Linked DNA regions of Pelodiscus sinensis. The protein of the gene in region 2 binds, or shares a complex with, the protein of the main gene of each other region. Links are inferred from orthologs where the notes say so. Each region holds a gene or a part of one and is shown on either strand. Other genes may lie near its edges. The genes, in order: INSR and GRB14.

Region 1 (3,906 bases), on a different chromosome or scaffold from region 2:
ATTTCAACAAAAACAGCCTGCTTATGGAGCAACAATTAAATCCTCAATAATGTCTCACTGGTTTTTTGCTTGTGCAACAATTGTGTATGCATTCATCTTCAAACTGCTGAATGCACCTTCACATTAAATAATGTGTTATTTTCAATACATACTCTAATGCTCTGCAAATATAAGAGTGTGCGCTAGTGTTTAGAGGAGTGACATGGGCATTAAGACAACATTGAAAATTCTTTGGACCACGGACTTTCCTACATATCCTTAACTAGGGTTATGAATGGTTAACCAAGTGATGCTTACACATTACAATTAACCAGCAGGGCAGCCCCACACCTGACACAGCCAGGAGGCTTGGCTAAGCAACAAGACTCAGGTGGGCATGCTCCAGCCCAGCTGAAGCAACCCCCTCACCTGTCCAGTTAACTGATTAAACAGGATTTTACATCCCTATCCTTAACATACCTAGGACGGTACTGGCACTATATACGTAATAAAATTAAGTAATATCCCCCTGTTCCATTCTGGGCTCTGCTATAGTCTGACTCGGTGGACATTGATCCCATTTCTCTATCCGTAAAACAGAAATAATACTTCCCTATTTCATAAGGATGTTGTGAGGATTAATTCATTACATTCATAAACACATAAACAATCCAAGAACAAATGGTGCTACAGAAAGCCACAAGATCAGCAGTTTGTTTGTACCAGTAACAATTTGTAAAGAACTTTGAGGTCACTGAATTAAAGTTATATCGGTACTAAAATTAAAGCGTTGTGCACTGGAGAATGAAATCTTCATGTATTTCCCCACACCACAGTTTGGGCTGCCTGCCATCTCTCAACTCTTAGTTGAAAAACACAGTAGTACTTCTCAAATTTTAAAGTGAATACATGAATAATTTTTTAAAAGAGCGTGCGAGAGAAGAGAGGAAGGTATTTTTGATTACGTGACCAGCCAAATAGATTGTTTTTCCAAAAGTCAGGAGTGTTTCTTGCTTTGAAACCTTTATTATTGTATGTATGTGACGTACCAATCAATGCAATATCTGGACTCTGAACCACCCTACTGCTATTGCTTCTGTGGGAAACATGCCAAGTACAATGAAGGTTATTAAATGAACAATTTCAGTACTTAATTCTCTTTAAGCAAATATTTACCAGCAGGTTCTTTCATTTTCTATAAAAACAAAAACAAGCTAGATTCAGACAGTAAATGCTAGCTTAAGTCATTTATTTAAGCAAGCTTATCCACCTAAAATCAGCCATAAACAATGGTCTGACACTCGTTAAGATAGTTGTGAGCTTCATTTAGGAATCTCCCCAATCCCTCCATTAATGTAACTTCTCTCCACACCCTTGCTTTTAATACCTGTAACCTGTTTAAGAACCATTTTGTGGTTAATTTAAAATCCTTGCCATTCTAAGCCCACACCATGCTAAGAGCTTTCAGAAACTATATCTGGTGTTGAAATTAACTTTTAAAAAAAGAGTTAGAATTCTGTAATATAGCGAGGAAAAGGCTAGAGTGGCATGCTTTTTCATGTTTAAAACAAAAATAGACTTACAAAGACATTACTTGTAGGGTAAATTCCAACAGAAAAGCATGGGCTAAGTTCTCAACCCTCTATTTTATATATAGGCACACATGATACAATTATACCCCCTGCACATGCCAAATGCCACATTTAAGAGAAACAGTTTTAGACCCTGATTCACAAGTCAACTTAGAGGCCCCATTTCAAAATACTTGTGAGAAGTAAATATTCATGGCCACTAAGGTAAAGTTACCAGCAACTTCATAAAACGAAAGATTTTTCATTTATCCCGAACCCAAAGTAACAAAAACCAAAAACAAATGTCTCGGGGTAGCCGTGCTAGTCTGCACTAGAAAAAAAAACACACACACACCTTAAAAAACAACCAATCGTTCTGCAGCACCTTAGAGATTTAACAAAAAAATGCAGATGGGCACATTTAATGCCAACTAGCCTATGCCAAGCAAAGCAGGAATAAAGGAGTTTCCTCCTGACCTAGTCCATGTGTCTGTTCCAATAAACACCCCCCGTTATCTTTGTAGCTGTTGCTAGACCTCTTTTCAGTCACACGCAGGTACGTTGCACGCTGGCTGCATTTCGGAGAGCTTCCCACGCGCACCTTGACTCCCCTTTTTTAATTCATAAATTAATACACAAATCAATCAATCAGTCAGTCCTTCCATAGACGCCACTTTCTGTTCATTTAAGGCAACTCCCGCCCCTCATTATAGCTCCCACCCAAACCCACCCTGAAGAAAGGCATTTGGTTGGGGGGGGGGATGAAAAGCAAGAAAGTGCTCGGGGGGGGGGGGGGAGTCCTGGAACTGCCCCCCCCCCGCTCAGGTACAAAGGGCGGTGTCAGGGCGACCCTCCCGCCCTGTCGCCCCGCTCGGGCTGCAGGGGGCACAGTCACCTCCGCGCGGGGGAGACGCTCCCTCAGCCCGCGCGGCGGGGGGCGGGCGAGCGCGGCTCCCCTCAGCGCCGGCTGCGTGGCGGGGGCACCTGCCCCGGGGACTAGGCCGCGCCCGCGCTACTTACTCTCCCCGCGGCTCGGGCCGCAGCAGGCCCCCAGCAGCGCGGCCACCGCCAGCGCCAGCGCCGCCCTCAGCGCCATGCTCCGCCGCTCGGAGGCCGCCGGGCCCCGCGCCCGCCTCTCCCGCCGCTTCGTCGGGCCGCTGGCGGCGCGGGCCGGGCTCGCGGCTGCCTGCCTGGCCGGTAAACAAGGGGCTGCCCCCGTCAGCTGGGAGCGGGCGGCGGCAAGAGGCGGCGCGGAGCCGGGCTGGGGACGGGACGCGGCCGGGGGAGGGGCCCCGGGGAGGGGCGAGCCACCTGCCGGGCCCCCGGGACTGGAGCGGCGGGGCCTCCCCCCTCACGGCCCCGGCCAACCGAGAGCGCGCGCCCCGCTGCGGGCTCTTCCTCCCGGGGAGCGACCGGCCCCGCCCCCCGCCCCCCCGCTTCCCCCCCTGCCCCTGGGGGCCCGCCGGCCCCGCCCCCCGCTTCTCCCCCCTGCCCCTGGGGGCCCGCCGGCCCCGCCCCCCGCTTCCCCCCCTGCCCCTGGGGGCCCGCCGGCCCCGCCCCCCGCTTCCCCCCCGCTCCAGGGGCCCCGCCCCCCGCTTCCCCCCCTGCTCCAGGGGGCCCGCCGGCCCCCACCCGCCCCTACCCCCCCCGGGAGCAACCTGCCCCACAGCCTGCTTCTCCCCCTGCCCCAGGGGGCCCGCCGGCCCCGCCCCCCGCTTCTCCCCCTGCCCCAGGGGGCCCGCCGGCCCCGCCCCCCGCTTCTCTCCAACCCCAGGAGGCCCGCCTGCCCCTCACCCGCCCCTACCTGCCCTGGGGATCAGCCTGCCCCGAGCCCCACTTCTCCCCCAGCTCCAGGGGGTCAGCCTGTCCCACCCCCCCCCCCCCCGGGATCAGCCTGCCCCGCACCCCGCACCTCCCCCAGCCCGAGGGGGCCCGTCTGCCCACCACCCGCCCCTACCCCCTGGGGAGCAACCTGCCCTGCAGCCCGCTTCTCCCCAACCCCAGGGGGCCCACCTGCCCCGCAGCTGCCCCGCACCCCGCTTCCCCTCAGCCCCAGGGGGCCCGCCTATCCCACCCCCCAGGGGATCCGCCTGCCCGGCAGCTGCCCCGCACCCTGCTTCCCCCCCAGCCCGAGGGGACGAGCCTGCCCCGCAGCCGCCCCTCCCCTCCCCCGGGGATCAGCCTGCCCCGCATCTCGCTTCTCCCCCAGCTACAGGGAGCCAGCCTGCCCTGCCCCTAGCCCCCTACAGGACCAGCCTGCCCTGCACCCCGCTTCTCCCCCAGCCCCCGAGGCCAGCCTGCCCTGCCCCAAACCCCACAAGGGGCTAGCCTGCCCGCTCCTGCCCCCCAGGGATCA
Region 2 (3,906 bases):
AAATAAACTGCTGAATTAAAGCATTATGTTCACAGTATACATAATGACATTAATATTAGGGGGTTGCCACATTAATTATTGGTCATGTTACTAGCACATTTTATTAGACAACTGTACTGATTAAAATGCATATGATTAATTTTGCATATGCAAGATTTCTTTACACCCATCTCCTCCAGTGGCTAACTAGTTACATCACCAGAAGCATTGTCAATTTAGTTATTTCCCAACCCTCCCCTTTTCCTGGGAATGTGAACACCGCATTCTGATTTCAATTCTTGAGAAAGATTAAATTAAATCCCAGTGATTACCATGGTTGTAAAATTAAGACTTACATTAGTAATTTACAGCATCTGGACCTACGTGTGTCCATACTTCAGGTATTAGCAAATAGCTTCAGGAATATGCACCTGATTCTTACACATGCACATAATTTTACTATAACGAGTAGCTCTATCCATTTGATATGAACTTACTCATGATAAAACTAAGCACCTGCATGAGTTTTTGCAGAATCAGGTCCAAAGGTAATTAATAGCTTGGCATTTCACATAGGAAAATGTCCCTTTCTTCCTCTAACTGCCTCTGTCTTCTTTCTTGTATGATTCCTTAATTAGCTATGAGACATAAAATGTCTTGCTTTTAAAATCTACGTTTGTTTTTGTTTCAAATACCACCAGCCAAAGCCTGTGGTTGTTTGAGCAGATTAAGATTCAGAATGATTATAGAAATGGAAAACAGCAACACCTAAACTTTTGAAATGCTGTGCACACTATGGTACATAATGTTCTGACATGTAAAATATAAATTAGTACCTATTCTTCTAAGCAACAGAAATCAAAGTGCTGTAAACCTTGATTTGATTTGCAATCATCTATTTTTCCTCTATTGGTGTAAGCTGAAGATTGGGGTCAATATTTAACCTCTTTATTACCTGCATTAATGTTATTCTGTGTGTCACTTGTTAATTAGTATGATAAAAATGTTTAGACTTCAATATCATGAAATTACTTTTAAGGCTTCTTGAAGTATTTAAAGAAGTTTAAAAGGACAATAGTTTAGCAGGAGTGGAAAAGATTCTGCTCACAATACTTTTAAGTGTGGGAGAAGTTAATGTAGACAACTGACAGATACTGCATAAAAACCTAACAGCTACATTTCTTTTAATTCAAGTTGAAACAAACTCATCTTTTAAAAGGAAACTAACAGCTGCTAAAAGCACTTGGTACAAATGTGCACTTGGTACACTTAAAATTATTGCAACTCTTCCAGAAGAAATTTTAGTAGTAGATGTTTCTGGGAAATGGATTTCTCTTATCATGCATTTCATTTCACTTTAAAAAATTTTGTGGTGTATAATGTTGCTGATATAGCCTTGGTAGATCAAATGCTGAAACTATAAACAGCACTATTAATTATCAGAGGGGTAGCCCTGTTAGTCTGAATCTGCAAAAGGGGCGAGGAGTCCTGTGGCACCTTCTAGACTAACCGAAGTGCTGGAGCATAAGCTTTCGTGGGCAAAAACCCACTTTGTCAGATGCATCTGACGAAGTGGGTCTTTGCCAACGAAAGCTTATGCTCTAGCACTTCGGTTAGTCTAGAAGGTGCCACAGGACTCCTCGCAGCAATATTAATTATGGCCCCAAAGTGTCATTGCAAATTGATGACTTGTGCAAAAAACTATTTTTTGGCTGATAATCTATTTTAAAAAACAACAACCCCAAGGTCTAAAAGCTCTTGAGGAATAACAGATCAGTGAAGACCTAAAATAATTGCCATAGAAACGATAAAAGACTCTATCCTGCAAAGACTTGTGCCCGAGCTACTGTAAATAACGCCACGGGAAAGGTGAGCCCATACATAAGTGTTTGCAGGAGCGGGAGTTAACAGTGACTGTTCAGAGCCAATTGAGAAGGAAGGATTTAAGTGGGGGAAAAAATGCTTCCGCTACGGGACCCTTCACATCTTTCTGCCTTGGCTGGCGAACCTCTAGCGGTAGCCGCCCGCCGTTGTGCGCCCAGGTCTCTCTCCAACCCCGCTATTGCTCAGGCATCAGCCCTATGCAACGGCGTCCTCCGCTTGGTTTTGAGCAGGTGTGAACAGGACCCCCCCCCCCCCCCGCAAGGTTTAGGAGCCGAACCGTCTCGTTGCCTTGTGAACCCAACAGCCCCGCACCCCAATACGGAGCCTCCTTTCGCTCAGGAGCCCGAGGCGCGGTTCTAGGCTGCGAGGGGGGCCTCGGAGCCACCTGTAGCCACACGGGGCAGAGGAACCGCTGCCCCCGCCTCACCTGTCTGGCCCGAGCCGGGGCCCCGCCCGAGGGCTGAGAGGGGCGAGCCAAGGGGAAGGAGCCAAGTCCTCGCTGCTCTCCCGGGAGGGAGCCGGGGTCTCTGCGGTCCTCGGCGTATCCGGCAGCGGGGCGGCCATGGCGGCGGCTCCTAAGGTACCATCCTCTGGCTCAGCCCCTCCGCGAGCTCTGGCAGCAGCGGGAGAGCCGGCGGGCCCACTTGTAGGGAGGGGACTGCTGCGCGGGGGAGGGGGGTGAGCTCCGCCCGGGCTGCCGCCCCTGCACCCCTCACACGTGCGGCGGGAGGCCGGGCTGCCCCCTGCGGCCCCTTAGCGCTGAACCCTACCTGGGCGGGGGCGGGGGCGCTCCCTGCGCTCACCGCCCCCACGCCGGGAGCGAGCCCCCCTGCCGGTGCTGCGCTAGCACAGCCGCGGGCTGCCTGGGGCCAGGCTCGCGCCGCTCGGGCTCACTCGCTAGGTTCTGGGAAAGGGAGACGAGGGGGAATTAACCCGCTGTGGCGCTCGCTCCGCACCTGCTCCATGCGGCTCCTGTGCGAGTCGCTGGCTCCCTGACCCGCTGCAGTGGTGGCTTGGGGAGCCAGGGATGCTCCTAGTGGTTCAGTTACCTCTGCCACCTACTTGCTGTGTGACCTCGGGTACTTCATCTCTCCCTGACCCCAGTCTCTGCTCGAGAGAGAAAGAGAAGATCCTCTCTCCTCCCCCCCCCCCCCCCCCTTTGCCTTGTCCTTTTAGTTTGTAACTTCTTGAGGCAGGGTTTGTGTATGTACAGCCCCTAGCAAAATCCTCCATGGGCACTAACCCACATTGCCCAGACTCACGTGCCTACAGCCCCTACAGAGGCACTACTGTGATCCAAAAAAGCCTCCACTCAGCTAAATAGGTGCCTAACATCTCTAAGTGATGAAATTTCAGTTGTACAAGTTCCCAAACTACCTAAATTTCTGCACCTGAAGCTGCATAGGGCTACTTCAGGCAGGCAACCAGCTACCTCTGTCATGCTTTTCCCACAGAGGATCTTCAAACTGCAGGAAGATGGGCCTTGTCCTAGCTTTATTTTGGAACTCCACCCAGAACTTCCCCAGGGTGGGCAGGAAAACATAACTCCTAGTAACTGTTATCCCAGTGGTTTGGATATTAACCCAGAATGTGAGAAATTCTGATTGAGTTCCTCCTCTTGCTTGGTGATGCAAAGAAACGTGAACAGAAGGTTCCTTTCTTTCAGGAGAGCACTAAAACACTGAACTACCCTCATTCTGATGTGGGTTTCTCTCTCACTCACTCTTAGTGAAGCCAATCTACTTTATACAAATAATTTATTATGCATCAGGCCAAAAACACTGTGAGTATGACTACGTAAGCCCAATGGTCAGAGCAGGCCCCGGACAGGTGAGGAACCCCTTTCAAATACTTTCCCATCAATTATCTGTAGGTTTGGACCATTAATAATAAGCATATTAAATAAAAACTTCCCAATACTTCTTGGAGACAGGAACTTATATGTACACAGCGGAGAAGAAATAAATGAGCAGATCTGGAAAAGACAACACTTTCTGGCCAAAATAATGAACTGATTACAGGGTTTGGCCCATACAGAAACAC

What was found.
Region 1: the proteins of GRB14 (region 2) and INSR are in contact, whole or in part, in a crystal structure (PDB 2AUH), measured with the Homo sapiens proteins. The link is inferred for Pelodiscus sinensis from reciprocal best matches to the Homo sapiens genes GRB14 and INSR. Residues at the interface, in NP_004481.2 of Homo sapiens: Glu373, Asn374, Ser375, Leu376, Val377, Ala378, Met379, Asp380, Phe381, Ser382, Ser386, Val388, Ile389, Glu394, Val398, Ala399, Glu401, Glu402, Gly403, Leu404, Trp406, Arg407; in NP_000199.2 of Homo sapiens: Leu1065, Arg1066, Ile1069, Glu1070, Lys1112, Arg1116, Arg1163, Met1180, Arg1182, Tyr1190, Lys1192, Gly1193, Gly1194, Lys1195, Gly1196, Leu1197, Leu1198, Pro1199, Val1200, Trp1202, Ser1207, Leu1208, Lys1209, Asp1210, Gly1211, Gln1235, Asn1242, Glu1243, Leu1246.

What each region holds. Positions count from the first base shown.
Region 1 is NC_134729.1:20,789,343-20,793,248, forward strand, and holds the start of INSR (insulin receptor), read right to left. Parts: upstream 2,705-3,906; 5' UTR 2,647-2,704; coding exon 2,571-2,646; intron 2,232-2,570; exon of another isoform or gene 2,028-2,231; intron 1-2,027. UniProt on the Homo sapiens protein: Receptor tyrosine kinase which mediates the pleiotropic actions of insulin.
Region 2 is NC_134717.1:36,399,593-36,403,498, forward strand, and holds the start of GRB14 (growth factor receptor-bound protein 14), read right to left. Parts: upstream 2,627-3,906; 5' UTR 2,428-2,626; coding exon 2,291-2,427; intron 1-2,290. UniProt on the Homo sapiens protein: Adapter protein which modulates coupling of cell surface receptor kinases with specific signaling pathways. Binds to, and suppresses signals from, the activated insulin receptor (INSR). Potent inhibitor of insulin-stimulated MAPK3 phosphorylation.